Oreochromis niloticus: one gene and its partners. The protein of the gene in region 3 interacts with the protein of the main gene of each other region in a pairwise test. Links are inferred from orthologs where the notes say so. Each region holds a gene or a part of one and is shown on either strand. Other genes may lie near its edges.

Region 1 (7,267 bases), on a different chromosome or scaffold from region 3:
AACAAATCAAACAACTCAGTTTATCTATGAAGGTAAACACACTTTCATTTCAGAAAAGCAGGCGAATAAGCTTCAAAGGTAATAAATATATACCGAGTCTGACTTGTGCAAATAGTGCAAGTAAATACTCAGGTACTATAAATACAAGGATGACTGCAGTGGAGTACAAGTATGTTACAACACTGTCATAGCTCTATCTTAATACATCAACTCATATAAGATGAACATGTGCAAACAAGTAGATTGGGCCATCAGAAAAATATTTAGGTTACCTCTTTCTTGACTTTCTCTCTTTGCTCTTCTTCCGTTTTCGTCTTCTTTTTCTATCATCATCGCTGTCATGGGAACCTACCACGCAAAAGCAGCACCTTTAATCTCATAACTAAGAGGCCTCATCAAAAATAAATAAATAAAGATAAAGAGCTAATAAAATAACTGCTGTCCAATTGCAAAAATCCACACTTTGGATTTTACTCAAGCTCCAGCTTGTATTGATGTTGACTGGATGCTGAATTATGTAAAACTGCTATATTTATTGCAAATTGCCTTGCAGTAAATGAATGCATATTTTAAAAGCTTACAGTAATCAAGGGCAGGTTAATCAAATCTGACCTTTTTGATGCTGCCCGCTTCGCTTCTCGCTGCGTTGAACCTGAGATTCGTCATCTTCGCTCTCCTCGCTGCTGGTGCTGCTCACATCCAGAACAATGTCCTTATGAGGGTCCACTTTAACAAAATTTCGGCACTCAAATGTTAAATGGCCCGCTGAAAGATGAAAGTCAGAAAGAGCGGTGAGGACACTTTTTATTAACATCTCTGAACCTCAACCTTGAAACTCATAAGAGGAAATGTGAATAAGTCAAAAAATAAATAAATAACATAATTACAATTTACTTCCAAAATAAATCTGGCTCAAAGGCTGGGTAAGAGGCACCATAAAACAGACTCCATCCCAACTGTATAAATCTATAAATCTTTTTTCACTGAGTAAATATGGGAGCATATCAAGCATAACAGTATAACATCCACACATCTCTGAAGCTTGTAGTAAATAATGGTTAGTTTTACTTACGATAGCCACATTTCTTGCACCCAGCTCTGATGTTGTCCTTATTAGGTCCTGTAAGATTGTTAAGAGCTTTTTAATGATTTACATGCAAGTATGCATTCACATTCACCAACTACTTTACTATGTAAACCTGTAATTAAATGCATATGCCTTTACAAGATGAACATACTGGTTGAGCTCTATATAAAGTGCTGAAAGGGTGATAAAGAATGAGCCCCTACTCTGACTTTTAAGCACCCAAAACATACAGTAGGTATACACTCAAAGCTGCTTTATTAAGTACACCTTGCTAGTGCAGGGCTGGACTGCGTTGTGCCTTCAGACCCGTCTTAATTCTTTATGGCAAAGCTTCAACAAGGTGCTGCAAACATTCCTCAGAGGTTTTGATCCAGATTGACATGATAGCTTCACACAGTTACTGCAGACTTGTCGGCTGAACATTTGTGCCGTGAATCTCCTAAGGGTGTCCTACTGGATTGAGATCAGCTGACTATGGAGGCCATTTGAAAACTCATTTTCATCTTCAAGAAACTAGCTTGACATTATTTGAGAGTTATGGCGCATTCTAGTGCTGGAAGCAGCTATCAGGAGGAGGGCACACTTTGGACATCAAGGGGTGGATGGTTAAAAATGATATTCAGGTAGGCTGTTGGATTACAAAGGGGCCCAAAGTGTACCAAAGAAATATCACCCACACCATGACACTACCATAAGCAGTCTGCACTGCTGATACAGGGCAGTATGGATCCATGTTTTCAAGTTGATTATGCCAAATTTTGATCCTACCATCTGACAGCTGCAGTGACATCAGACCAGGCAACATTTTTTCAAATCAGCTACTGTCCAGTTTTCACCTGTGTGGTTTTCTGCTGCTGTGGGCTCTTCTGTGTCAGGGTTCAAAATGTACGTTCACATGTGCGTTCAGAGATGCTCTCCTGCATACCTTGATTGAATAGCTGTTCCTTTCCCATCAGCTCCAGATCATCTGGCCATTCTCCTCTAACCTCTGGCATTAATAAGGCATTTTACACAGAACTGCCACTCACTGGATATGATCTCTTCTTCATTCCATTCAAAACCCCATAGATTGTTTAGTCTGAGTTTACCGACTTTAAATACTTTGACCAGCTCATCGGACACTAACAACCACAGCAGACTCAAAATCACCTTTCCCCTCATTCTGATATTCGGTTTGAATTTAAGCAGCTCACCTTAACCATGTCGACCTGACTAAATGCACCAGCTTATTGCTACGTGATTAGCTGATTGATTATTTACTTTAAAAAGCAACAAGGGTAACAGATGTACCTGATAAAGTGACTAATTGAGTGTATATGTTGTGTGATTTATTGCTATAATTATCATTATCATTATTATTATTATTTTACTCTCTCTACTCAACCAAAAAGGTGATAAGCCTAATGCTACTTACAAGAGTTAATCCTAACAAAAAGTACTAAAATCGAATCCATGACTGTTTATATGGAGTATCTGGACATTTACAAGTACTCTGCTTTACGCCAATTTGTACATCACCCGTCATGTAACCACGTGTGCTAAACGTAGCCAAGTTTCTCGCTGGGTTAGTCATTGCACAGACTTCACATCAAAGGGTCTGTGTTTTTAAAAATACATTAAGCTAGCGTAAACGTAAGCCCCACTTTGTGTTACCAATGCATTAGTTACCCTGTCAGCTCTTACCATTCCAGCGAAACCTACATGAATAATACAATAGAAACTGCGAAGTTAAGTAAGTTACACATTTGAAATATAATTCCCACCTGGTACAGCCATCACTGTGTCCAAAATAAAGCCCCCAAACAGCAAAACTTATTGTTGTTATAGCGCGAATCAGCCAACAGCGTCCTCACACCAAATAACGTCGACAGGAAACACTTGTTCTAGAAACTACCGCGTTCCCCCTGCTTTTGTTCGCGTTTTTTTCCCCTACTGACGGCAGGAAAACCAAACTAGTGGCGCATTATCGCCGCCCGATGGAAAGGAGTTGGCGCAGCAGACTGTGTGACATATTTTCACAAGGATTTCTTGTGAAAAAAACAAAACATAGAAAAGTGAATAATCTAAATATAATGTTCTATTGTCTCCAATGTTTACACTTATATAAACTATGAAGAATCTGCCATCGTCAGACCCTGGTGACGCTATAAGAAAAAAACCCTGAAATATTTGTACCATGCATGACTGCTTTGCCAGTAAAGTCAGCTGTGGTTTTTGTAAGGGGTTAATTGCAGGCAGCTAGAGTCGGACTGGCAGATGGAAAATGTTGACAGATGCATGGCCCCCAGACATGCTCTCATCATCATGTCTGTGGCTGTGACACAAATGCGCGGACACACATACACGAAAACAATCTCAGTCCTGATCTTTTGATGATGCCACATGCTTTAGCGTGGGCTAGTTTTAATGATGTGATTTACCTTCTTTAATATCTAAATGAGGTTCTTTCCAACTACACATATGATGCCTCACAGCTCTGAAGTTCAGCACGGTCAAAGAACTTTTGCACCTCATTTTTATTATTATTAGTTTTTTTTATTATGGTCTTGCAGGAAATAAAAAAAAAAACACACACACACACACACACATGCACACGTGGCTCCAGAGAAAATATAGACAAAAGCAAGATATTTAAAGCAAATAAAATAACTAAAATAAAACTATAAATGCTAAAAATACTATGAAATGAGCCCCCAAACTGCCAAGGTGTTACAGTACAACTAGCAGAAATTATGATCCATGAACTGCATGACCCAAGTCAAATCAGCTTAATCATAAACTAAAGGAAATAAAACAGATTTTAGAGACTCCTAAAAACAACTTCGTATTATGTAATTTTCAACCTCAAATTAGTTACTATTTAGCATTTCTGACCACCTGGATTTAGCTTCTATAGGTTTCCAACAACAACACAAATGAAAACCACAGATGAAGAGAGCCAATAAAACAAAAGGCAGTGAAGGATTTCCAAAATGAATACAGGAAAGCTGGAAATGAATTTGCCCCATTTAACTTCACGCTATTTTCAGTTGGGTTGTGGCTAAAAATTCCCCGGTCCTTTAAATGTTGATTACATGTCAGATTGAATTAGCAAATACATACATAGAATACATAGAAACATCTTCTTTGGTATGTGTGTGTGTGTGTGTGTGTGTGTGTGTGTGTTGGGGGGGGATTTTGAAGTATACCATTAACAAATAAGCATTAAATGCATACAGTAGGCAATATTGAGACCCGAATATGTACATTAACCTGTTCGAAAGACTTTTAAATCCCTTTATCACCAAATTCAACAAGTACTGAGGCAAGATGAGAAGGGCGAGCTGAAAAACACAATATACTGTAGGTGTGTAATACTGCAGTTCTCCTACTAAAACTGGAAAATGTCCTGTAGTGATAAAACGGGAATTCTTTTTGGGGAAACTAGATTACACTTGTGGTCAAAAGTTTACATACAATCACCATGGGGATGAATGTGTTTTCTCTATTACACATAGGATCGAAAGTATACACGCAGGGGTAAAATATGCATACACCCCTACTATTATTTGATTTAATATCTCTTAGCAAGTTACATTTGACTAGACATTTTCGATAGCCATCAACAAGCTTGTCTGCGTAGGTTCTCAGTCATCCAGTTCATGGTACTCTTAGGAGATTGAAAAAAGAAGGCAACTGGACTTCTTTAGGTTTTGTGAAGACATTTCACCTCTCATCCAAGAGTCTTCTTTGTTCTAAAACAAAAGATGTAGAGTACCAGGTATTTAACTCTAGTGGGGTTTGTCCTCTTTGGAGGTGGTCCTGAGGGTCGTTGACCCTCTATTGATCATGTGAGTCATCATATGGGTACTTGTGTGAAAAAAGGTGTGGGTCGTTACCACAACCAGGGATCGCTTCCCAGGTGCTTCAATTCATACCACGTCTCAGATGACCTCAATAGGTCACATGATAATTTGGGTGAACCTCTCAAAGTGGTTTCACCATTAACCCCTACTGATGGTGACAACCCACCCATTTTTTCACACATTGGCTCACATGGGGTCAATGACTCTCAGGACCATCTCTAAAGGGGACGAACCCCACAAGGGGATAACTACCCAGGACTCTGCCTTTTGTTTTAGAATTGGAGAAGACCATTGAATCAGAAGTGAAGCATATTCTCTAAAAGGCCCTAAAGGCCCTAACTAAAAGGCCCCAAAGAATATCCACAAGCTTCTTTCATAATTCTGACTGGATATTTGACCACTTTTCCTGGAAGAATTGGTAGAGTTCATTTAAATTGATTGTTTTCCTGGTAGAGACCCAACGTTTAAGTGTTGTTTTCAATAGGGTTGAGGTTGAGCCGTTCCAGAGGCTTAATGTTAATCTGCTTGACAGTTGGTACAGTGATCTTAGGTTTGAAAGCCTTGCCTTTACTCGTCCAAACATACCTCCCATCATTGTGGACTCACACAGTCATATAACTTGTACCAACTAACAAGAAATTAGCTGGTCAAGATAAGATAAATGTCAAGTTAAAAAACATCATAGAACCTCCAACATCACTTATTATAAGATTTAGGTGAGTCTATATATAGTTTAGCCTGTATGCTGTATGTATACTGTAGATTAGAAAGATGCCAAAATAAATTCAAATTTGTGAATTTCTGCACATAATTTTTATTCACCCTGGAAAAAGAACAGTTCAAAGAATTAATTAAAAGCCCAAAATTACCAAGCCTGTGATGACTGTAGGTAAACTTCTGATCACAGATGTAAGGAAGGCCCTGTTCAGGTATTCAAAAGTCATACTCCTTTATTTGTGATGATGAGAGATGAGAGATGAGAGATGAGATAGCCTTTATTTGTCAGTTGCAAGTCTTTTGCCCACAACCGAGATGACAGACCTTGCCGACCGTACATACAATACAAACATCACATTGGGGAGACAGGTCAGGCCAGGTAGCGAGGAAAAAAACATCGAAATATGTAACACAAAAGGATAATACAGGAATGCACAGATATCAACACACCATAACACAATAAACACAGACAAGCAACATGGGAAAGTGTTCCAGTGTGTACATCTGATCTGGGACCGCTGCAATCTTCGACTGCGCCTCCAACTGACCCGATGTCCACATCAGAGGGGAGGTAAGCGTTGGAGGTGGCGTTGGGTAGGGAGGGTGATGCGTCAGTGAGTGCTGAGACAGTGTCCTTCGCCCTGCCAGGCTAAGTAAACAGTCTTCCAGCCAACCCAGGTGGCCTTGTATGGAATGTGAAGGAACAGACTCAACACAGTCGTTATCAGGAAGTTTTTGTTCAGCTCCAGCCTTGAGCCCACAGCTGGCGCCGAAGGGGTAGCCGCATTATGATGGTGATTTTTCTTTTTGCAAACAACTCATGAGAATTTCAACCTGTTTTTAACACTCCGACACTGGTCTCTCAATCTCCCGTTGGATAGCTGCGAGTTTCTCCATGATGTTATTAGCCATTGATTCCGTGATCTTGTCACTCTTTTGCTCACAGAGCAGATTCTGAGACCTCACGACCGCAGCCAACTGGGAAAAATACATCCATTCAAAGGTATTTTTACCATCTTGCCAAATGGTTATTCTGAGAGTGTGGGCAAGCATGAAGTTTTTAATGAGAAACTGAAAGGATTGAACAGTTTATGTATTTAGACTAAATAGGAAAATAGGAAATCTTATATTTTATTCTCCAAAAGTTGAATCTGTTCATCTGGACGTAGCGTTTTGTGGGAGAAACGTTTCGTCACTCATCCAAGTGACTTCTTCAGTCTCAGCTGACTGCAGGTTTCCCCAACCCTTATAAACAGTCCATTTGCATAATGACTGAAACCAGCCCACTGAAGGAACAATGGGCTGTGAGGTCAGTTCCTTAATCATAATTATGCAAATTCCCATGACCATTGATCAACAATCACTGACCAAAACCCACTGATCAAAGACCACTGATCAATGGCCATGAGTACCATTCACAGAGAGTTGGGGAATGGCTGCAATCACAGCATTGTAAGATGGCGAAAGATGTACCCTTAGGCCCCCTCCTCGATTCAGAGATGGTCTTTCCCTTTTCACGTAAATGGCCTCCTTGACTCCGCGCTCAAACCAGCGTTCTTCCCTGTCCAGGATGTGTACATCCTCATCATTGAAAGAGTGTCCACTGGCCTGTAGGTGT
Region 2 (7,994 bases), on a different chromosome or scaffold from region 3:
CAGATTCAGACATGAAAATACTATGATAATACTTTTAAAAAAATGTAATATCTCTAGTTTTTCATAATATTATCCATTAGTCATGATAATGCAATTATTCTAAGTAACTGAGTGGGTTTTGTGAGAATATCACAGGGTTGCAAATAATATGGAGTTTGTCAAACTGCAGCTTTTCAAGCCTAAGGCTGAGAACTGAGCCTGCTGATTATCTGGCAGTGCCAGAGTGTCTTGTTTACCAGCCTCACACTTGTTTTATCAGGAGCAGCTCAAGGACAGGCAGCAAGACTAGCTGCTAGCCTTCCTGTTCAAACATATGTTTGCGTTTCTAACGATCCACCCACCCCAGATCAGAGTGTGTGACAAAGACAGCACCGCCCTCTCCTTGGAGATCCCGTGTTGTCAGATTTCGATAACAGGCTGACCCCCCCCCAACCTCCACCCACTTCTTTTCTCTGCTCCACCCTCTGGCAGTTAGATGGTACCAGGAAAGGTCATTCAATCGGATTATCAGTCTTGATGGTCATAAAAAAAAACACCAAGGTCAATAAAAATACAAACGCTTAAACATGAAGAAGTGTCTTGTCGTATCAGTAAGGCGTGAGGGATTTTTAGCTTCCACTTGCGCACATAAATAACTAAAAAAACAACAACAAAAAAACTAAACAAAAAACAAAGGAAAGCAGGGACTCTCCCCTTTATTAGCCATGCCCATGATGCCTATTGCGTAAGCTCTGCATGCTGGAACTAGCCTAGCTCAAGTATGTGTCTCCCATTATATTTAGCTTAGAGACTAATAAACAAACTCCAAATGAAGTTTGCAGCAGGAAATGAAACATCCGCAAAAACAGTTCTGTTATTTTTCTGTTGTCTTGCAGTGCTTTATAGACAAAATAATGCACACGTGGGTAACAAATTAAAGATAAAAAAAGTGCCTCAATAATGTGCTCGGTCCCTACCTGCCATCAGAACAGTTTCAATGTGTCTTGGCATAGGCTGCATCCAAAATTAAACACTAGCATACTGTTAAGTATGGCAAAATATGGTATTTTCACTGATTCCAAGAATTATTAAACTGTACCCAATAATACAGCAGATGCATTCTATATTCAGGCGAATATTTAAGTATACACACTCAGACCATTATACCGGCATAAATATCCCACAATGAAATACAAATACAGACACACTATAATGCCAAAAACTCTCCAATTTAGGTGCTTAATATTAAAGTGTTCACCCTGACAGGCATTATATATAATTTAATCAGATATTCACTTTTATCAAATGAGGTTAGACCTGTGTGACTGGGCCTTACCTACATATCAGCTGGTGACTGGCTGGCAACCACCAGTTACTAGGGAAAAATGACTATTCTCCAACCTGTTGCCAGTCGCTAGCCGAAACTGCTCCCAAAAGGTATACATCACTGCATCAAAGACCTTGTGATTACTAGCAGACTGCCCCATGGATGACACCAACTGGTTTGCAAACACTTGCCAACTATTCAGTACACAGTTTAGAATCTGTTAAGAATGAAACACTTACAAACCCATTCGGTGCACCCCTACCCCTTATTAGCATGTTATTAAGATGTTACACTACAGGATAATGGTGATCACCGAGAACAGCATTTTGAGTTTTCTTTTTATTGATTAAAGCAAAGTCGTTCTTTGCAGCCATCGTGCTGCCTGTCCTCACTTTGTGACACTTATTTGAGGAGTTTCTTTTAAATCCCTGTACATATAGAATCACCGTTAAAAACTGCTAAAAACTTTGTAAGCGTTTCCCCCCAAGAAAAGGTTTTAATCCCAAAATCAGCATTCCCAAAGTGCAATGTTTCTCCCCCTTAGTTTCCGTTTGCAGTGATCATCACCAAAATGCTCCCAACAGGTGGATAGAGCCCCCATCAGTCTATGGGGTCGAGGGCCCTGCATTTTTTCTTGTGTGCTTAGAAGTCAGTGTCTGAAAGATGTACTTTTTTTTATTTATTCTTTTTTTGGCAGTGCAATGAGTAGAAACTTTTTAAATATCTATTTACACGACACTTTAAACACAAAGGCTTTCTACTGTGCACTTTATTAAAATTATGATTCTCCCCACTCTTGTAACATAATCTTTACTATATACACATTTCATTTGTATACAGTAATGTCTTTACTGTGTCCTCCCCATTCTCTAAGTAATGCTGCCATAAAACGAGGATGCGTTTCATTTAACTTCTGCTCCTGTGACTCCTCCAAGAAAACCCACTGAGATGACAAAATAAGATATTAGTGCCGTGCCAGTGGTTCAGACAGTGCATTCTTCCTCCCCGATGTTTTTGATCGTTTTACTGTACTGTCACCAGCACCTCTCAGCATAGACTGAGAAAGCATATGGCGGTTGACAGACAGCTGCCACCTCCAGTGTGATCGTTAGAAACCGCAGAGAAGAAAGAGATGGGGCTCTGCCTCTGAGCTGGGAGCTGTTATAACAACACACACTCGAATGAGACACTGGAAGCGGCTCACGCGTGAAATCCAGCGAAACAGTTGAATTGTGCGCTCGTGTTTCCACACAGATCTGTTAGTTACGAGTTAATCCATGGAACAAAAGAGTATTATTAATTTGTGTCTTTGTTATCGACAATATTTCAACAGTGCCCGTTTGAAACTCAGTAAGAAATGTAGTACTACTTTATGAAGAAAAGAGGACCTACCTTCCAGGAACCTTTGCGTTTCTCCTCCAAAAATTGATCCTGTTGTCGGTGGCCATACTCAGATAACCCCCGTCAGACCGACACCAAAACCGGCTGCTCTCGTGAAGAAACCATGCGGCAAACGCTTCCGCGTTTCACTGGCGACAGCTCGGCCCCGCTCGGCTCTCTCTGCGCGGCCTCCTCATGAGTTTAAACGGTCGAGTGATAGTGATATTCGCTTTCTAGTGTGATGATGTACACTACAGCACACTGTAAGGCGCCATCTTGGGGCGCACCGACAGGAGCGCGTGATTGGTGCCAGAGTCTAACAGGTGCAGCGAAAGCAGCCAATCGGACGAGCTCGCGGTCGAGCGACGGTGAGTGATGCTCACGGATAAACAGGCACAACGACGTGATTCGTTGACACTGGATGCTGGTAGGGGAAAGTTTGGTGTCGACCTCAAACACCATTCTAATGCAGTCTTTGTTGGGACTCCAGCCTCTGTTGACGCCTGCATAGTGATGTGTTTGGTTTAACCACTTAAGCAGAGCAACTGAGACAAGGTCATTTCATTTCAATTCATTTTGGTTTATATACCACCAAATCCAAACAACAGTCGCCTCGTGGTGCTTTGTATTGTAAGGTAAAGATCTTACAATACTACAGAGAAACCATAAACATTCAGATGACTCCCTACAGATGATACCAGGCTCAGGGAAGACACACTGGGAAAGCCAGAGATGAATAGTAAACTAATGATTAAATGGAGTGTGGTTGTATAAACACATGTGATAAAAGGTGGGTGAAGAAGAAACACCCAGTGCATCATGTGAAGCCCCCGAGGGCTAAGGTCACCTGATCCAACCCTAAGTATATGCTTTATCAATAAGGAAAGTTTTAAACCTAATCTTAAAGGCAGAGATAGTGTCTGTATCCCGAATCCAAACTGGAAGCTGGTTCCACAGAAAATGGCCTGAAGGCTCTGTCTCCTGGTCTACTTTTAAATGTCCTTGCATACACGTGAGCCTGCAGTCTGAAAGTCAAGCGCTGTATTGGAGTGATACAGTGCTATGAAGTCTTTAAGATAAGATGGGGCCTGATTATTCAAGCCCTTGAATGCGAGTAGCAGAATTTTAAATGCAATCCTGGACTATTCCTAGTCCCAGTCAATACTCTTTGCTGTAGCATGTTGGACCAACTGAAGGCTTTTCAAGGAGTTTTTAGGCCAACCTGATAACTATCCTGAAAGGTTCAGCCTTTAACATGCCTACAAGAGAAGACACTCCAGAGGTGTAAAAAGCGTGTGATTTTCAGGAAATGCCAAAGACTTCAGAGAGCTCAGGATAACATAAAAATGTATGTGTATTGCTCGGGAAGAGTGAGCACTTTAGGAGTGATTTGGGAAAATTTCTTCAAGGTTGGCTTTAGTGTAGTAAATTCCTTAAAATGCTGCATCCAGATAAACACAATCAACTTTCTGGGAATTTCTTATCTGGACGATTGAGGATCAAGACATTCCTAAACCACTTTGAAAGAAAAAAAGGCTCTTGAAAGTGCATGTGCAAATGGATCTGATCCTGAAGCTTAAGTCTTTTTCCAATTTATTGTTGCAACCGGAGAAGAGAAGCTGATGGTGAGGCAAGAAGAAGACTATAAAGTGATAAAATTGTGGGTCATTCCTTATAAAATCAATCAAATTGATTGAACTTCTTATCTTAATTTGCTGATTATTTTTGTGTAGTAAATAAATATAAATATTTTGAACATTTCCAGAGTTTCCGGCCTTCAAAGCACATGGATGGGTTTAAGTTTTCAAGTCACCATTTTCCCAGCATATTTGACCTGTTATAACCTCTTAAGGAAGAAATAACAACATTAAATTTAAGCACATTTAAGCTGCAACCAAGTCATTTTTATACTAACTCTAACTGTCACAACCTAAAACCAAAGTCTCGTTGTTGTTTAGAACCACTTTTTTCTATAGCCAGAGATTTAGCATGAATATCACAGGATTTTGCTTCGTTTCAGTTGCAGAATCACACAAGTTTAACAGAAACAAGCACCAGTGCCTTTGATATTTTATCTGCTTTCTGATCATTCAGTGTAGGAAAGTTAATAAAGCGTGTTTTAGGTAAACCGGGGGCAGCAGCCTAAGCAGAGAAGCCCAGATCTCCCTCTCCCCAGCCACCTCCTCCAGCTTGTCTGGGGGAACACCATGGCGTTCCCAAGCCAGCCGAGAGATATAATCTCTCCAGCGTCTCCTTGGCTGGTCCCGGGGCCTCCTCCCGGTGGGACATGCCCTGAATGCTTACTCACATAGCAAGCAGGTCTGGCCCGGATCTGGTCTCAAGTCGGCGCTTCTGGCTGACTTCTGGCATGATAAGATGTATGTCATCCAGATATGGGCCAGGCCTGGCATAGATGGCACTGTCTATGTGATGGCATGCCATATCTGGCTCGATTGTGGTTTGGTGGATATGGCCCAGGCCCATAGAAAACAGGTCTTCCCTGGATCCAGCATCAAGCTGGCACTTCTGACTGAGTGGTGTCATGGCAGGGTGTATGTCAACCAGATGTGGGCCAGGTCTGGCAATGATGGCACTATATATGTTCATATTTTCCTATTTTAGTTAGAAGACTCAAATGCCATGTTGCAATACTATACTGCTATGGTAGCCAACGTTTCAAATGCAGATTTGACAGGTTTGTGAGTGTACAACAACAAAAGTGCTATATAAGTACTAAGTCCAGTAAGTAATATAAGTCCAGTTAGACCTTTTGTCTGAAACAAAATAAGTCCTCTTAGAATTTAAAAGATCAGCAATTTTGTGTCAGTGGCTAACCTCTTGTTGGATGACCTTGTGACATAAAGTTGAAGAATGTGGAAATGGAAACAAAACCGCTATCCTTTGGTTAATTAACAGACGTACATCAGGCTGATCAGAGGCAAGTAGCTTACTGGAGCAACTGCAAGCTCTTCAAGCCACAAACTGTCATGCAAATCAAAATGCTTCCTCTGATTGTTGACCCTCACTTCATGCAACTTCATGCTAAGTAATACTTCTCTTTTTTCCCCCAGTTGCTGCATCTACAGTCTCCATCCACATGGGGGCAGACATCTTCTGCTCCACTTAAAGAGCTTTGCTCAAAACGAAACCAGTTCAACTACTACCTATTTACTGGAAATGTTTGAAAAGTGAATTATCCTTTTATGCTGCTTATTCTGTGGTGTTATCAACAACAGATACCTGACCACAGAGTGGGGACATAGTCATGCTTTTCCTGAAAAAAAGAAGCAAATTGACTCAAATCATCTTATTTGGTATTCTATAGAGCATCTTGGCCTCTGTTGGCTGCATTCAAATACAGGCAAATAAAGGTTTTGGGACATGAATTGGTTTCGTTTTACATGTTGGCCTTGTATTTGAATTGCAGGTGCTCTCCTTTGTCTGTTTGTTTAGGGAAATCACTGCAGCACCCACCCACCTGTTCACTCCTCTTCAAGCGTTCAACGGACTTCAACTGACAAAATCCAGGTGAGAGTTAATATTTGCGGGGAACAAGTGTGTGCTGTGGATTTCATATCACTGGGATTGAAGAAAACTCCATTGAAACATTTTCTGAAGATAACTATTTTTAGAGACTGTTTGGAATTTTCTCTCAAGGCAGTCTTGTGACTTTTGGCTACTGGATTTTGCTTGGTGTGGCCATCTCACTGAAGAAAACAGCAGCATGAGAGGAGCAGGCTGAGAGGGGATGCACTTGTAGTCACAAGGCAGGACAATAGGGAGCTGTGTGAGGGACTGCTGGAGTTGCCTGGGGCACAATGACTCTCTGCTATTACTTTGATCTTCCTGCTGTCAGGAAACCGTGCCTATTTATTGAATTACTTCTAGATGAAGGCATGTTTTGACTCGTCTGCTGTAAATACATATTTTAGTTCTAAATAGTTCATCTTTAATGGCATGCATTTTCCTGAACAGTACATTGAAGATAAGTGGTTTTTCAAAATAAATGTATGACACATGCTCAGTGGAGTTTAAGCCCTCAGCCATATTTTGGCTTGTGTGACCCCCCTCCCCTTTTTTTGCTTTCCCTCTAACCCCTGAAAGGACAGCATTGTGACTTTTTCTCTTCCTGCATGCTCAAGTGGCAACAAAACCACTCCGACAGCATTCTTAAGAAAAGAGGAACTTTTTTTCTTTCTGTTGTCCTGTCACCGTGGCGCAGTGTTCAGCTAACAGTTATTTTTAAAGTTTTCTGAACTGTTTGAGCAAGAAGATATTGACCAATATAAGAGGTCAAGAAGTCTTGAAAACAGTTTTGAACTTTTGAGTTGGAGCTTATTCAGTGGAGGTAAGTTTTTTTTTTTTTTTTCTTTCCTGTTACTTATGTCAACATTGCTCAAAATAGTTCTATGGTAATCATCTACTATTTTATACTTTTTACTGTAAAAGGCACTAGCCAGATGTGAATAAAAGAAAGGGAAAACCTCCCCAACTTTTTAGCATGCTTTGGCTTCAAAGCTCACAATTAAATGTACTGTGAAAATGTGCATACAGAAGCATTAAATGTTTGCGTATCCTCTTCAGGCACATGGTGATGTATACTGGAATTCTTCATCTCAAGGTCAAGAGGTCATCAACAGCTGTGCTTACACACTCTGACTGTGACTGGGCCATGAAGGATTGCGAATTCGTTGAGAAAGGTAAGATGGCTCGCTCACGATGAGGAAGTCTGTATGAGTGCTGTGTGTGGAGAGCTTAGTCTGCACAAACTATTTATGTGCACATCATCTGGTGCTTACATTTGAGGGTTTGGAGGGTATACGCTGGACAGATCACAAGTCCCTCACTAAAAATGCTGATACATCCCATGATCCATAAATAATAAAAGGGGCAAGGATTGTTCAAATTAAAAAGTGTTTATCTAATTAATAATTGGACCCATAAGTATGCTAGGAGTAAAAATGTAAGACATGCAAAGAAAGAAATAAAGAGATGAGCCTCTTTTATGTCTGTCTTGATTTTGAACTAAAAGCCCAAAGTGCAAAAAGGATTTTTGCATGCTAACAATTTCACAATGCCTGCTTCGGTGGGTACTACTCTTTTATTTTCATGGCTGTCCTTTTGAAAATTTCAGCTTTCAACTTTAAACACATTTCCATGAGGTCCTTTGCACTTTTTGCTCACAGGGACAACCATTTGGGAACTTTCCAGTTTCTTTCAGCTCTTTGTTATCTATAGCTTTAACCCTTTAGATAACAAAAGTAAAGTCAAATTGGTCAACTGATATATCAAAAGGTGATTTTAGTTT
Region 3 (7,909 bases):
CTATCCAAGAAGACTTCATTCCTCAGAGGGTCGAAGTAGCGAATTCGACGCTGGGGGTCACCCAACAGGGAGTCTGGGAACTGAGCGAGGGTGCGCAGCTGGGTCTCATAACGCATCCCTGACACGTTGATGGCCAGACGCTCCGTCAGAGCCCACTGACACCGCCGGCGGTTCTCCCTTCTGGGATGGGCCCTCGGCTCCTTGCTGCTCTCTTTCTCCAACTTGTTCTGCTTGTTTTTGGCCTGCTTATCTTCATCGCTGACCTCCTCAGCTTTCTGTTTATCTTTTGTCTCGCCTCCACCTCGATCTGTACCTCCCCCCTTATGATTGTCCATGTCTCAGCCTGGAATAGTTCCAAGTTTTTTTGTTTGTATTATTTTTTCTTTGTTCTGCAAGACGAAAAATCAAAGTTACCCTTTTCACATCATACTTCCAACAACCAGTTACAACACTGTGTATAAAAGGTGTATAACAAATAAATTCTGAGTAAAAATCTGTATTTCAGCATTTATGAGTTGATTCTTTTAGCAAATCTATTCAATTTTTATATTTTTTTTACTGTTACACTTTATTGTAACACACCAGAAAATGTTACACCTGTACACCCTTCCCTGAACTGACTTAATGGATTACATTTATATAGCGCTTTTCGAGACCCTCAAAGCGCTTTACAATTCCTCTATTCATTCACTCTCACATTCACACACTGGACTTTTTGGTTCAATCAAAATGGATTTTAAGGTGATTTTCTCCGTCTCCATAGACCATCAGAGAAACTGCTGTCAGCTCCACTTGTCTTAAAACATGCTATACAGTGTCTTTGTTTAGATTTGATTTCATACTGCATGCACAAATTCCAAGACATGCAGTTACTGTAAACCCACCTTAGTTCAGCTCCTCCTTTCACCTGCCTGCCCGGCAGCTAATGCTTCAGGCTAGTGCTTCAAACCCCAGGCGAGTGACCATGACCCTCCTGCTGTTCCTTCACCTCCATGTGCCTTCTGGGCCGACCCATCATCACACCATCCAGGCAACCCCTCCTAATTCTCCCTTGAGTCACATTTAGGAGGTGAGGGGAGGAGATAGAGGGAGTAGTGTGCTTCTTCAGGGGCTGCTGTGGTGTTAATCTGCCACCGTGGGTAAAGTTAAAATTGTTAAGCTTGTTTATAGGTCACTCACTGTCTGCGCTTGCACCCTTGCGCTGCCTCTCGCTCTCAGCATGGGGAATGCTGTTAGGCGGAAATTCAATCTTGGATTTGCTCCTTTTCCAAGAGCACGCTGCCTATTCGCCCACTTTTTCTGACCCCAACAAGCCTCCTCACTCAAAAATGTCAACCTCTTACAACCCTAAGTCTGTCTTAAACATGCTGTGCATTCTTACATACACTTGTAGCCTGATCTGTACCTGAACTAGAAAGTTTAAAAAGGAGAATAAAAAATAAAATAAGGGAGCAGTGTTTGCACCATGAACATGATTTACACTCTAGAATCATACCACAAACATTTGGTTGGTATTTATGTTTTTTCCCTCTTTTGCTGTTGCATCTTAGATATAAATTAAAACTTGCAGGTTACTGTGGTTTGTGCAGAATTATCCACAAATTGGATCAGAGCAGTGATAAATCTGTCATGAAATGTGACCACACCATTACTCACTTTATGTTAAATATAAAACTTGATTTCTGTGGTTATTTTAGACACATCTTAAATTATACACCAAAACATCTCTGAGTCTCTGGGTCTGTGTGCAGGAAGACTTTTCTTACTGTTGCCTTCAAATACTTCAAGTAATTTACAGCTCTTAAGTGTTTATTTTCACAAAGGGTTTGTAAAGTTTGCTCTTTGCATTCCAAATCTCCAAATCCAATTTTGATACTTTGAATAAGAGTAGCTGTTGCAGAGGACTGTAGGTCGGAATGTGTGGGAAAACCTGCTGGCTTGTTTACTGCAAGCTGCAGCTGAAGGCACTTGGAGATCCTGGTATTTTTGGCTCACTTTATTAAACTGTGTGAGATGTGCTGAATCCTTTACTGGCATAGTGAGTGGTATGGTAGCATGCAAGCTATGCTCTGTATAAAAAAAAATAGATGTAGCTTCCAGGTCTGAAAAGTGAAGCAAATGTGAAGCAGTGTGCCTTAAACTGTATTCTTTGTAATGGCCAGCAGGGGGCTGACGCCACAGGTTGCAGAAAGAAGCCCAATTTAAAAATAATTTGTGAGTTGGTGAGTTTATGACCTCAAATATTAGTTTAACCTTTAAGTTAATAAAGCACAATGTTCCTTAAAATTATTATTATTATTATTATTAATAATAATAATAATAATAATAATAATAATAATACAGGCTGATGTCCAAAAATCTGAATCCCTGAAAAAAATCAGGAAGTTTAAGGATTTCCAAATTTTTATTTTTAAACACAAAATGTTTTGCCATGTAAAATGAGGAAATTAGATTAAAGTTCATTTCAGCTTCTACCTTATCCACATGTTTTAAGTCACATGCCCTTCCTGAGCCAACTTCAAAGGTTTAGTGTCTCTGATTTTTACCTCCAATCGACCCAGCACCCTTTTACACGAATATGTTGACCAGTGAGGCATGAAAATGAAGAAATGAAATAATTACGTTTAAGATTAAGTATACAAAAATGAATACTTTTAACAAAAGGCCAGATCTCCTTGATCTTTAAGTGCTTTATAACTGCTAGAAACATAGCATCAGCAAGTTTAGTGGGAAGCAGGTGCTTCATACTGTCAGGTAAAGACACTACAGTATTGGAGAGAGATCCCCAACAATCAGACGATCCCATTCGTGCAAGTGCTTGATAATGGGGAGTAGGAAGAACTTCCTTTCACAGAACGAAACTAATCATGTCCAGTCTGGGGCGGATCTAGAGAAATTTTTTTTAGAGTGGCATGAGGGTGGCAAAGAAATCAAATGGGGTGGCAAAATCAAAGCCTTTTTTTCCCCAAACACATATGCAGGTGGTTACATATGGTTAAAATGATTCAAATGCAGTAAGTATACACGTTTTTCATATAAATATAGTCTATAACTTAATTATTGTCTGTAGCCCACATAATTACACACTTTAGTTACATAAAACATGTGAGTTTTGATATTATGTACTGTATAGCCTGTATAATAAATAAATATGTAGCCCAACAAGTATAAAATCCAGAAAGTTGCACAACATGGGGCGGTTCATTTACAAACACAAGTCTAACTTAAGTTTCACACTGTTTTTTGTTAGAAAACAATCACATTGTTACAGCTTAAATTACACAAAATGTCAGAAATCTGCACTGTCATGAACAAAAATTTAAACCTAATTTTTCATGATTTGTTGGATTAACCCACTGAGGTCTGAAATACAACCGGGCATTTTTGACTCCTTTTGAGTTTACGTTTGTATTTCACCCTCAGATTGTTTCATTTTATTTTTCCCCCTTGCCTTGTTTGGGATCATTCTTTTCAGCTCAACTGAATTTAGTTGTTTTTTTCACTGACATACTGCATTAGTATTACTGATCTGAAATCACACAAAGAACTTAAAATCCTAGTAGTATTTTTTTACTGAAAAAAAAAAACCACAGACATGTTGAGTAAATTTTTATAACTTGAAATGCAAATATAAATTGTACATTTTGTAAACATATCCAACTATTTATCTAAAAATGCAGCCAATACACCTGCCGTTGCTTTCATTTTGTACAACCATTTAAAAATATACTAAAACTAAAATGAGAGAACAATCAGGTGTTGCAATAAGATGCCCCACAAATGATGTGTGCCAGTAAAAAAAAAGTTTGTCCACCAAAAGACAGATGAGAACAGCACAGGGATAAACCTGCAGGCCTGACAACAGCAGGTGTATCACTCCGCTGGTTTTCTACTTAGTGACAGTGTTTACATTGCAAATGTGCCTTTGTGACATTCATTAGTGCCCTCACTGACACACACAACAAAACGACTGCACAACAGAACAGCTACACAAGACAACACAACACACTAACTGTACACTCCACACTAAACGTCACAAATCTCCCACATCTAAAAACTCTCTCACTCGCTCGCTCTGTCTCGCTGCCGTTACCGTCACTCTAAAAACTCTCCCCTCTCCCTAAACAACCAAATCCCACGTGTTGACTTTTTTAAAAATTGGTTGACATGGTACATTTTTCCACCGATAGGCTTCTTTTCCTTTCTTTACTGTTTTCGCGCTTTCCTTAGAAAACACTTAAAATACACACAGCACACATAAAAAACGTGACGACAGTATTTAGAAAAAAGCATGGATTATATATATTATCATAACTCTGGATTTACTGGCCTGTAATTAAAATTTAAAAACTTTGAAGTCCGAACTTTCAATGTGGGCTGAAACAGAGACTCAGCGTGGCTGCAGCTTGTTGCTATGTCAGCTTAACATAGTCATGTGATTTGGAGGTGCAGCGTGTCCGTGGACCACAGAGGGTTAATAACACTCATCTTCCTTCCATTTCCATAGTGTAACATCCAACCACCTGTGTAAAATCCGAAATTCCCGTGGTGTTGTTCAAAATGTGCTCTGGCACAATCATAAACATCGCTTGCTACTGATAACAAGAAAAAAGCTGGTCCTGCTGTGGGCTGAACCATTTGTTAATGGTAGAGGGGAGGAACACTATGCAATATATTCAGTTTTATTCACTGTTGACTGTAACTACGCTCAAACTGTTAATGCTATCTTATTTTAATAAACAACACTGTCATATGCAAAACTGGGGTGGCAAAGGATCATTTTAGGGTGGCACTTGCCACCCCATGCCACCCTTCTAGATCCGCCCCTGTGTCCAGAGTGATGATTTCTAAGGAAGCTGACATCAGCTTAGGGCGGCTAAGTTATTGGCACCCAAGCACAGATGTCCAGACACAGTTGAAGTAAAAAGGATATTATTATAAAAGTTCAAGAACCCTCTCTAGAGCTAGTTTTCTTGTGAATGTATGGATTTCCTACTATCCCCTATGCTCCTGAATGCAGCAAAGCAAACCGCATGATTTTGTGGTACTTTGAACTTTACAAACATGCTGACAGCGGCTGATCGTTTCTGCTGGCGGCGAAGACACAGAGGAGTCCTGCTGTAATAACTCCGAGCAGAGAAAGTAAGAACTAACCGTTATTAGTCCGCTGTTTGACAGCAGCGCCGCTTTGCGTCACATTTATCATCGTAATCGCAGACAAAATGTCCCTCCGCTACCACAACAAAGTGGCTGTTGTCACGGGAGGATCCAAAGGGATTGGCAGAGGGATTGTCAGAGTGTTTGGTATGAAAATGTCTTTATTTATGCTGGCAGTTTGCGCATGCAGCGAGGAGTGGCGCACTGAACATTTCTGCGACTTTTTTTTTTCTTTTATAGTGGAAAACGGAGCCAAAGTGGCGTTTTGTGCAAGAGAAAGTTAGTAAGGCTGTTTTTATTCTGCTGCTTTTTAAAACAGTTACACGAATTCACTTTTGCCAGCATATATGAAAAGAAAAATAATGGAGTGCAAGTTTTTGCGGCATGATCAGACGTGTCTCGTAGGTGCAGCAGGTGAAGCTTTAGAGACGGAGCTTAACAAGACCGGACCAGGCTCGTGCAAGTTTGTCAAAAGTGACATCTCCAAGGAAGAAGACATAAAGGTGAAGTACAGCTTTGTGGGTGTAAGGTCTGAAATGGACAGAGTCACATGATCACATGATGATCACATGATGATCACATGAGCTCAGAGAGTGACTCGGGCAGCCACTGCTGATGTGTGCTTGTCATTTGTTGGTTTCTCTTGTCTGTGCAGAGACTGATTGCAGTCACAGTGGAGCAGTTTGGTCACATCGACTGCCTGGTCAACAACGCAGGCTGGCGTGAGTCACACATGCATTTTTTGTCTGTTTTTCACCTCCAAGCAGATATGACGTCATGGCCGTCCTGCTTACTTTCCTTCTTTGTGTGAAATCTTCCTCTTCAGACCCTCCTCATAAACCCACCGATGACACCACAGCGGAGGAGTTCAGAGACTTGTTGAATCTGAACCTCGTCAGCTACTTTTTGGCGTCTAAAGTAAATTTTCACAGCTTTGCGTGCAAGTATATTCTGTCTTCTGTGGAAACAAAGACAGGACATAAAGATTAAAGTGATACATTTAAACACTGATGAATGAAATAAATAACAAATAACTTTATTATGAAAAGACAAGCGGGGAAACAATACAGGAAAAAAATGTTTTCAGTGGTCTTAAAAGTACACGATCATATCCTTAACATGGAATCTACCTCCTTTGATATCAGGATTCCAGGATTTCCAGGTTCTTGCATTGACTGATTGATTTTAGCCAACGCCAGTCTGACTAACTAATAACCCATAAACCCGTCATACCTTTCATTTCTGTTTGAGCTCTTGGAGTAATCGAAACATTATGTATAGAGGATCTTTGCACCACCTGAAAGTCTCGCTCTCTCTGCAGTATGTGTTACCGTACCTACGAGAGCGCCAAGGAAACATCATCAATATTTCCAGTCTTGTGGGAACTATCGGTCAGAAAGATGCTGCACCGTATGTTGCCACAAAGGTGAGCTTCTTTCCTCATTTCCTAAATTTCAGCCCCCTGCCCAATAGAAGAGTACTGTAATGTGATGTCTTCTCCACAAGGGGGCGATCATTTCCATGACAAAGGCAATGGCAGTGGATGAGAGCCGCTACAATGTGAGAGTCAACTGGTGAGGCAAACTGGCATCTGAAAAAAAAGTTTTCTAGGGAGAAAATATATTTTTAATTTCCAGATTAATTAATTGGATTTCACTTTAATCACAAGAATAAGATATAAAAATGTGTTGAGTCACAGGCTCCCCCGCCCCCAATTCATGAATTGCATCATGCAATTAATGATGCAATTAATGAATGCATCATTGATTGCCGAACTGAACTACGGCTTCAAGAGTCAAATCCAGTCCTCACAATCCTGAGTGTCCTTGTGGCTGTGGAGCAGCCGATGTTACACATTTATTTCTTTATATAAGGAGATATGTGCGAGTGTGCTGGTTACAAGGCTAAAATGAATACTAAATAATTTTGGATATAAGGAAAGAAATTAAATTAATTGATTACTAAGATAACAAACAACTATAATTAAGCATTAACTGGAGGTAAAAGACAGAACTACAGTGAAATAAAAAATGTGATTCTGATAAATAAAAAGAATTCAGGTGTGAAATAAAAACTGAATGTGTAGAGATTCTACAAGTATTTCATTTCCTTTATTTTAATAATTATGCATTTCTTTGTCTGATCAGAGTGTCTGGCTTTTGTTGCAGCATTTCACCAGGTAACGTGATAACACCTCTGTGGGAGGAACTAGCAGCACAGACACCAGACACTGCCGCTACCATTAAAATGGGGGAAAATGCTCAGGTACGTTCAGGAAGGCGTTCAGAAGCCATGTAGATTATGGGTGCTGGTTAGTAGTGAGGAGCTGAGTTATGCAAAGTCATTCATGAAAAGTTATGAAAAATGAACCGTGCCATCATCACATTGGATCAGGGCAGCGAATGCCTCTGGCGTTGTTGGTCAGCAGGCTGCTGGTGGAAAGTGTGCTACTATTGGCTCAAAACAATGGAAGGGGAGAGGGGGAAGGTGTGTTAGGAGGTGGCGTGAGAGAAGGAAAGGCAGGAGTGTGGCGGTCAGAGATAGGGACTTACATGTGAGGAGCTAGCTGATATGAAGGAGAGAAGGAGGCGGATATTTTTCAGAGCCAGTGTCAGACAGGTTAATGAGTTTGAAGCTGGAAATCGTAGAGGTAATGTTGAATGTTGTCAGTGTGAACGCCGTGTAGGTTGGATGTCAGTTAGAAGAGATGGAGGAAGCTAGATAAAGTGCTAGATTTAGTCCCCAGGAAGGA
Region 4 (7,085 bases), about 5.5 Mb from region 3:
GCCCATTCCCCGTGGGACTCTATTCCGATGCGTGGTGCTGATACGATGTCTTGGGGTTTTGCCGGACTTGTGTCGGGATCATTCTCCAGCCACACTTCTGGGTCTGAGGCTAAGTCTCGACGGTCAAAACATCGGGGTATATTTAGAGCCTGGCAGAGCTTTGAAGGCCCATTGCAGAGCTCTTTGTCCTTCAGCTGACGGGCTCCCTCTTTGCGTCTGGCTGCCCTCAGCTGCCTCATGACGGCCTCACCCTGTAGGGGCTCGAGTGAGCGCAGCAACACAGCAGCACCCTCCCCTGAGCAACACAGCACACAATATGCATCAGTCAGCAAGGCTCCATTCTGTCTCCTTCCTTTTACCCTTTAAACAGCAACTATTGAAGCCATGAACTGCTGTTTATGTTTAATGTTGTAATAGTGAAGACGGATCAAAACTGGCCTTTTCACATCCATTGTTAATAATAATAAATATATGAATGTACACAAAATGAATGACATAATGTACACAACATATTGCACCTTTGGTGGGTATAGCATTTACCTTCACTAGACACGTTCATGCATAGGTAGATGCCATAGATTGGATACACGTAGATTGTGCCAGGCTTCATAAACATGGCTGTGTTTCTCTCGGTGCGTTTGCCTCCTGCCGAGTGTGAGGCCTTGTCCTCCCCTCCAAGGTAAGCTTCAGTTTCCACTATTCTTCCTCGCAACTCCGTACCATCTGCACACCTGTGGACCAGCACCTGCAGGAACAAGGGACAGCAAGATTCTTTCTCTATTTCCATAGGATAGTGGGTTACATAGATTTGTCATTTAGCTGAAGGATGCTACCTACAAAAGACAACTCTGACAATCAAAACCACAACAAATGTCTATTTTAAATGTCGTGACAAAAGTCCTATGAAAGCAAAATAATAAGTATCTGTTCTGTTAAGCCAAATATTCCTTTTGCTTCAAAAACTGAGTGTGGACATATTTTCATGAGGTGTACAATGAACGATCAAAGAAAATCCATGCTTGCAAGCATGCCAGTTTTGCTGCTAAAAAAAAAAAAAAAAAAAAAAAAAACTACACCTCAATCACACTTTCATGAATCTTGATTAATGAAATATTCCAGCTCAAAATCTTTATTGATTTATACTTGTTGGGAATAAAATAATGAAACTAAAAATAATGAAAGGAAAGCTAGATTTAAAAAAAAAATCACAGCCAAAGACAAAGTTAGAAATTAAAATTGAGTCACAACTTGTATCACAATGTGGCTCAGTATTCTGCATAACCCAGTACACACTCCCAACAATGTGTGGGCATGCTCCTAATGATAGTGTGCGTGGTGTCCTGGTGGATCTCCCCCAAGACCAGGATCAGGGTATCAATGAGGTCCTGAAAAAGTCTGTGGTGCTAACTGCCACCTTTGGATGCACCATAAGATCCCAGAGATTCTCAGTTTGAATCAGTTCTGGGGAACACAAGGGCAAGCCGATGGCATTAATGTCTTCAATACCCAGGAACTGCATACACTTCTGGTCACATGAGACTGGAGCATTGTCCTGCACCAAGTGAAACTAGGGCGCACTGCGCCAACATAAGGACAAGGGGTCTGAGGATTTCTGCAGGGACCGTGATGTGCTCGTAACCTGCAAAGATATTGCTATTACCTACTGCCAAACCTTCATGCTGGAAGATGCTACAGGCAGCATAATGTTCCCCACAGTATCTCCAGGCTATTTCATATCAATAACATGTGCTCAATGCAAACTTGCTCTCGATTGTAAGGAGAACAGGGTTTCAGTGGTGGACCTGCAAGTTCTGCTCACAACTGTACAGTTCTGGGGTGTGATGGAAGGTCTACTGAAGTATGTTGTGCCACCCTCATGGAGGGTGTTTCTGACAGGTTGCACAGAAATATATACATTTACACTATAGAGATTTTGCTGGTAGACACAATAAACCTTCCAAAGGCTTGTATGTGCCATCATGGAAGAGGTGGACTACCTTTGCAGCCTGAATGGTCCGCAGGTATTAGTGACAAAACTAGAAATAAAATCAGTTAGGCTGAATAAGGAAAGAGCAAAACCTGATAAATCATTCTCTTTTTGGGAGACTGTTGTTTTTGCCTCTCCACTACACCTGTTGTCAATTTCATTTGCACTAAAAAGGGTAAACTAGGTAAAATAAATACACAATGGTTTATGGACAGATTAATATCTCTGAAGTTAGCAGACTTTGTGTTTTTGAAGAAGCATGTGTGTTTAAATAAACAAATAAGCAACAGTTAGCGTTAAAAATGGGAAACAGTGCTTAACAACTTAAATACAATCACGGAAAGTAAGTTTATCAGGGGCTCATTCAAAAGTATAGAAGCCAGTTACTAAGATATAAATTGAAAGGTGAAGTTAAAGTAAAAAAACAAAAACAAAAACAAAACAACAACAACTTTAAACTAAACTACATTTTCTTCCCTACATTTTGTGCCTCCTGACTTTTAAACACACAGACACATTTACATACAAAGGTGTTAAATTCAGGTGAGAAATCAGCCTACCTTGCCGAGGAAGGCTTTAGCTAAACTGATGCAGGGCTGCTTGAAGAAGTCCTCTCCTAGCCTGTGCTGCTGCTCATTCTTGGTAAAATAACGGCTTCGCTCCGCCTCAGCACTCTGGGCATTTTCGCACTGAGTGGGCTGCTTCTTAAGCGCGGTTTGTGAGTCCTCTGGCTTCAGCTCCGTCTGCTTGTTGTGTTTATTTGACGACACGGTTTGTTTAGATGCTGCCGCCGACAGCGCTAGCATCTTTCTTTTTCGGGCTGCCATCATCTTATCGTAAATTCAGAAGGTCTACAAATTTTTAAAAAACACATGTAGGACGGCGTGTATTTATAAACCCAACAATACGTTTATTCAATATTCAGCATTTAATTCACAATACAAATAATCTTGTGAAAGCCGTTCACGTAGTAGCATACCGGAAGTGAATATAATTGTTTTGGTATCTCTTAAAGGGACCGCGCACTCCTTGGAGGCAGTAGGAGAAGTTAACCTTCAAGGCTTTCTCCTAAAAAGATTTTATTTTCCCATCTATATTATTTTATATTTCAGTTGTGGAAGAAAAAAAATATTTATGGTTAAGAACAGGTGAAAATAAACATGTTTTGCAAAGATTGAATGGAAAAAATCATGAATGCAGTTTTCTTCTCTTTTTGAGCTGAAAATGTTTAAGCCAGCCACTGACTGTTCATTATGGAGCAATTCTATGGTAATAAGACTGCCTCTAAGAACAAATGTCCATCGTTTTCTCACAAAATGACTTTACAGTGCATTATGAATTTCACTCTTCAGCACAGCAGCCACTTTGCCGAAAGACTACCTGACAACCTGTGCCCTTTTCCTGCTGCTGCCTTATCTTTTCAGTCTCATTTGGATAATAAGAGGTTATAAATAGAACCGCTCTGCGTGCTCTCCACTGCCTGTGCCCAGGAAGTTGACGGCGCCAGTTTGGCCCCAGGCGCTTTGAGCCCATGCGGCTTTCTGGAAGACTAACAGTATGTGACGTGGTCATGCCACAGACCACAACTTCAGCAGGGAAATACAAGTTTGCTTTTTTGCTACTATGGAGGCAAATCTCTGGCTGTAAAAAGGAATCAGCCTATTATGATGCAGATGAAAGGAATGAACTGCAAGTCAACTAATAAAGATAATAAAGATGGACTTGATGTACCTTTCTTTTTTGTCTTCACACTTTTACATTTGTGCCCGTCTCCATGTTGAGTTTCGACTTTTATTTATACATGTGAAAGAGGAAAATAAGCACAAAAGTGTCATCTTCCTCATTTGGTCATAGATTCTGTGTGGCATTGCACAAAAACAGATGACCGGGACAAATTTGCATGGCTAGTCATTCAGTATCATATCCTGTACTTTCTCTTGTCTCCTTTTTATGCTGATCAAGCAATAATTTAATGTTGAACCTCTTGAGGTTTGATTTCCAGGTTTCCTCAAGAAACTACACTGTGATCACCGTGTTCATCCAAGGGCTTCTAATGGAAACCTCAAGTGACTTATTGAGCCAGAATACATTCCAGACAGAAATCTGCTGAGCATGTTCAGTAGAAGTCTCCTGGAATGGCTTGTTGACTTTGTCATGGCTGGTGGGCCAGAGAAGACCATTGTTTGCTGTGACTGTGTTGCTACTGCCCGTCAGCAGTGCTTGTGCGGTTTGGGCCGAGCAGCTTTCATTGTTGCTGCCACTGATAATCATAGCAGCCACATTCTGGATCACTGTCAATTCCAGCAGCCACCTCAGCGATCGTGACGCTGAGCAGGAACACCAGAGACTGGGCTGTGTGTGCAGATGGACGAGCAGAATGCCGCCGGACTAAAAATGCCTTACTACACGATGACTCAGAGAATCCTATGAAAAAAAGCAATTGATCTTTTGGGTTTCATGTGCAGTATTCAGTGTATTTGTGTTTAATTAAGGGAATGGTAAACTTATTTTAAAGTGACACTCAGTGGACTCTTTATTAGGTACACCTTTTTTAGTACTGGGTTAACTCTTATGCTTTCATATCTGCCTCAATTTGTAGTGGCACAGATTCAACAAAGTGCTGGAATTGTTCCTCTGAGATTTTGGTTTAGCAGCTTTGTGATATTATTACAGATTTGGCGCAAATTTTTCAGCTGCAAATTCATGATGCAAATTTCCTATTCCACTACATTCCAAAGGTGCTTTATTGGATTGAAACCTGGTGACTGTGGAGACGTGTGGCGTGAAGGGAACTCACTGTCATGTCCAAGATGAGATGATTTGAGCTTTGTGACACGGCTTGTTGTCATGCTGAAAGATGTGTATACTGTGGTCACAAGGGAGGGACATGGTTAGCAGTAATATTTAGGTAGGCTGCTTTAACACCGTTACACCATCACCAGCAGCAGCCTGAACTGTTGATACAGCGCAAGGTGAATACATTTCATGCTGTTTACACCAAATTCTGACTTTCTGATTTTTTGTGACATCCAAATGTCACAGAAAAATTGAGACTCATCAGACCAGAAACCTGGTCCTATTTTTAGCTGACAGGAGTGACCTCCCTGTCTTGTCGTCCCTTGCTGTTGTTTATCCATTTCATGAGTTGGCATTCTGTGAATTCAGAGATGCTCTTCTGCATACCTTGGTTGAAACAAGTGGTTATTAAAAAAAAAAAATAATCCAGTAGATTTTTGTGCAGGAAAATCCTAGTAGATCACCAGCTCCTGAAATATTCAGACCAGCCTGTTTGGCACCAACAGCTATCCTGCATTCGAAGTCACTTTAATCACATTACTTTCCACTTCTGATGCTCTATCCTTGAACTTCACCAGGTTGTCACGACCATGTCTACATGCCTAAATGCATCGAGTTGCTGCCATGTGATTGACTGATTAGGTATCTGCATAACATGCAGCCAAATAGGTATACCTAATAAAATGGTCTGTGGATGTATGCAATAGCAGTTTGGCATTACTACATTTAGTTTATAACTGTCTCTCTAAACACATTACATCAAATGGATGTCTAAAAAAACTAGCTAAATTTATATCTCTATTTTTGAGTAATGTTTATACGATATCTTAGGTATGAATGTCAGTAGCACCATTGCCAAACTCAGACCATTACGTAGTTTAATTAAAATAATTTCCCTGAAAAACTATTATGCTTTTAAAGAAAATTCCAAAATATAATTTGAAGTCTTAAATAAAAATATTTAAAAATATTAAAAATAATATTTTCTGTCATCGGGGCGGTAATAATGTGGACAGACAGAATCTCATGCATTATAAGTTTTATATGTATACTACATTGTACTATTGCATGATGATTGTTATTCTTTTGGATTTTTTATTACTATTCATATATATGTATATATATATATATATATATATATATATATATATATATTTAACTTAATCATTGAACTTCTGCAGAGCTCCAAACCAAATTGTGTTGTACTGCATGGTATATGTATGACAATAAAGACAGATTCTAGTCTATATTAAGTATCTGTTTGAGACGTAACACCATGTCGGTATTATATGAGAGTCATGATTTAAAAAGAGACAGCCATGATGTTTGTTGGTGTAAATAAACACAACAAACTATTATTGGCATTGCTGAGATTACGTCTGGTCTTGGTCTGTGTTTAAATTTGTATTGCCTGCATGATATAATCAACATCCAAGCGCCATAAAAAGCCAGCAATTAATTTGAAAGAGATTTTAGTGCTTAGTGTTGCTCATTCCATTTCACGGGGAGTTAGTCTGAGTTCGTTTTCAGAGAGCCTTTTAACCATGGTTATTAAAAAAATGTGGACATTGTGCATTTTTAATAGACCTCTTAACATCATTTCTCTTCTTCAGAACAAGCTTTATGTCAATAGATAAAGTTTCACAATAAAGATACTTCCAATAGGACATTTAACTTCATTAATTTATGTGATGATTAACCTTCTTTACCAGAGCAATAACTCCACATGACTGGAGGGTATTCTTACCAGTACTACAAGAGCCATTAGGTGGTAGGTAGTATTTGCATCCTCAGTGTGATGGGATTAATTATTAATTGCCAGCAATTAATGATTCATGCACCTCCTTTCTTGTTTGCTGCAGAGGTGTGGCGTGTGTGTGCTGTACAGGTGGCTGAGCTCTCATCAGGAGATGGAAGCAAGAGGATCACGTCATCTGACACCCAGTTCATACACCTTGCACAACAAAGAGACGTTTATAAAGAAACAGGTTTGTCTCTTTCCACATCTCTGAACTCACATGTAGAGTTTAAAACATAACCACTGCGGCTTAAATAGGCTTAACCACAGGTTAGCTAATCACTGTAAATAGTTCAAAGGTTCTCTTTGTTTATCTAAATCACACATAAGATGTTGTCAGTTTTTCCCAAAATTCCCACAGAGACATTCAACAGGTAGAGCTCATTATTTGTATGACTCAACTTAATAACATGAGAGCCCATGACAGTTTGAAGACAGTGTTTTTTATTAGCTAATCAACAGACAAAAACTTCGAGCTGTTTGGTTTATTGATTGAACCTGCCT

The links.
Region 1: the proteins of hsd17b14 (region 3) and srek1ip1 interact in binary tests that used the Homo sapiens proteins (3 or more experiments, as listed by UniProt). The two-hybrid records come from large-scale screens. The link is inferred for Oreochromis niloticus from reciprocal best matches to the Homo sapiens genes HSD17B14 and SREK1IP1.
Region 2: the proteins of hsd17b14 (region 3) and tbc1d22b interact in binary tests that used the Homo sapiens proteins (3 or more experiments, as listed by UniProt). The link is inferred for Oreochromis niloticus from reciprocal best matches to the Homo sapiens genes HSD17B14 and TBC1D22B.
Region 4: the proteins of hsd17b14 (region 3) and mpg interact in binary tests that used the Homo sapiens proteins (3 or more experiments, as listed by UniProt). The two-hybrid records come from large-scale screens. The link is inferred for Oreochromis niloticus from reciprocal best matches to the Homo sapiens genes HSD17B14 and MPG.

What each region holds. Positions count from the first base shown.
Region 1 is NC_031980.2:34,249,503-34,256,769, reverse strand, and holds the start of srek1ip1 (protein SREK1IP1), read right to left. Parts: upstream 3,010-7,267; 5' UTR 2,864-3,009; coding exon 2,851-2,863; intron 1,121-2,850; coding exon 1,073-1,120; intron 766-1,072; coding exon 613-765; intron 349-612; coding exon 273-348; intron 1-272. UniProt on the Homo sapiens protein: Possible splicing regulator involved in the control of cellular survival.
Region 2 is NC_031984.2:33,124,301-33,132,294, reverse strand, and holds the start of tbc1d22b (TBC1 domain family member 22B), read right to left. Parts: upstream 3,014-7,994; 5' UTR 2,755-3,013; coding exon 2,699-2,754; intron 1-2,698. Other genes in the region: myt1b (myelin transcription factor 1), read left to right, coding at 7,275-7,386. UniProt on the Homo sapiens protein: May act as a GTPase-activating protein for Rab family protein(s).
Region 3 is NC_031969.2:29,966,851-29,974,759, forward strand, and holds the start of hsd17b14 (L-fucose dehydrogenase), read left to right. Parts: upstream 1-4,906; 5' UTR 4,907-5,222; coding exon 5,223-5,304; intron 5,305-5,397; coding exon 5,398-5,436; intron 5,437-5,562; coding exon 5,563-5,660; intron 5,661-5,812; coding exon 5,813-5,879; intron 5,880-5,983; coding exon 5,984-6,075; intron 6,076-6,478; coding exon 6,479-6,583; intron 6,584-6,663; coding exon 6,664-6,731; intron 6,732-7,325; coding exon 7,326-7,422; intron 7,423-7,909. Other genes in the region: kcna7 (potassium voltage-gated channel subfamily A member 1), read right to left, coding at 1-335. UniProt on the Homo sapiens protein: Catalyzes the NAD(+)-dependent oxidation of L-fucose, yielding L-fucono-1,5-lactone, which rapidly converts spontaneously to L-fucone-1,4-lactone. Can also act on D-arabinose and L-galactose, with lower catalytic efficiency. Does not use NADPH.
Region 4 is NC_031969.2:24,448,381-24,455,465, forward strand, and holds the start of mpg (DNA-3-methyladenine glycosylase), read right to left. Parts: upstream 3,012-7,085; 5' UTR 2,818-3,011; coding exon 2,548-2,817; intron 746-2,547; coding exon 541-745; intron 296-540; coding exon 1-295. UniProt on the Homo sapiens protein: Hydrolysis of the deoxyribose N-glycosidic bond to excise 3-methyladenine, and 7-methylguanine from the damaged DNA polymer formed by alkylation lesions.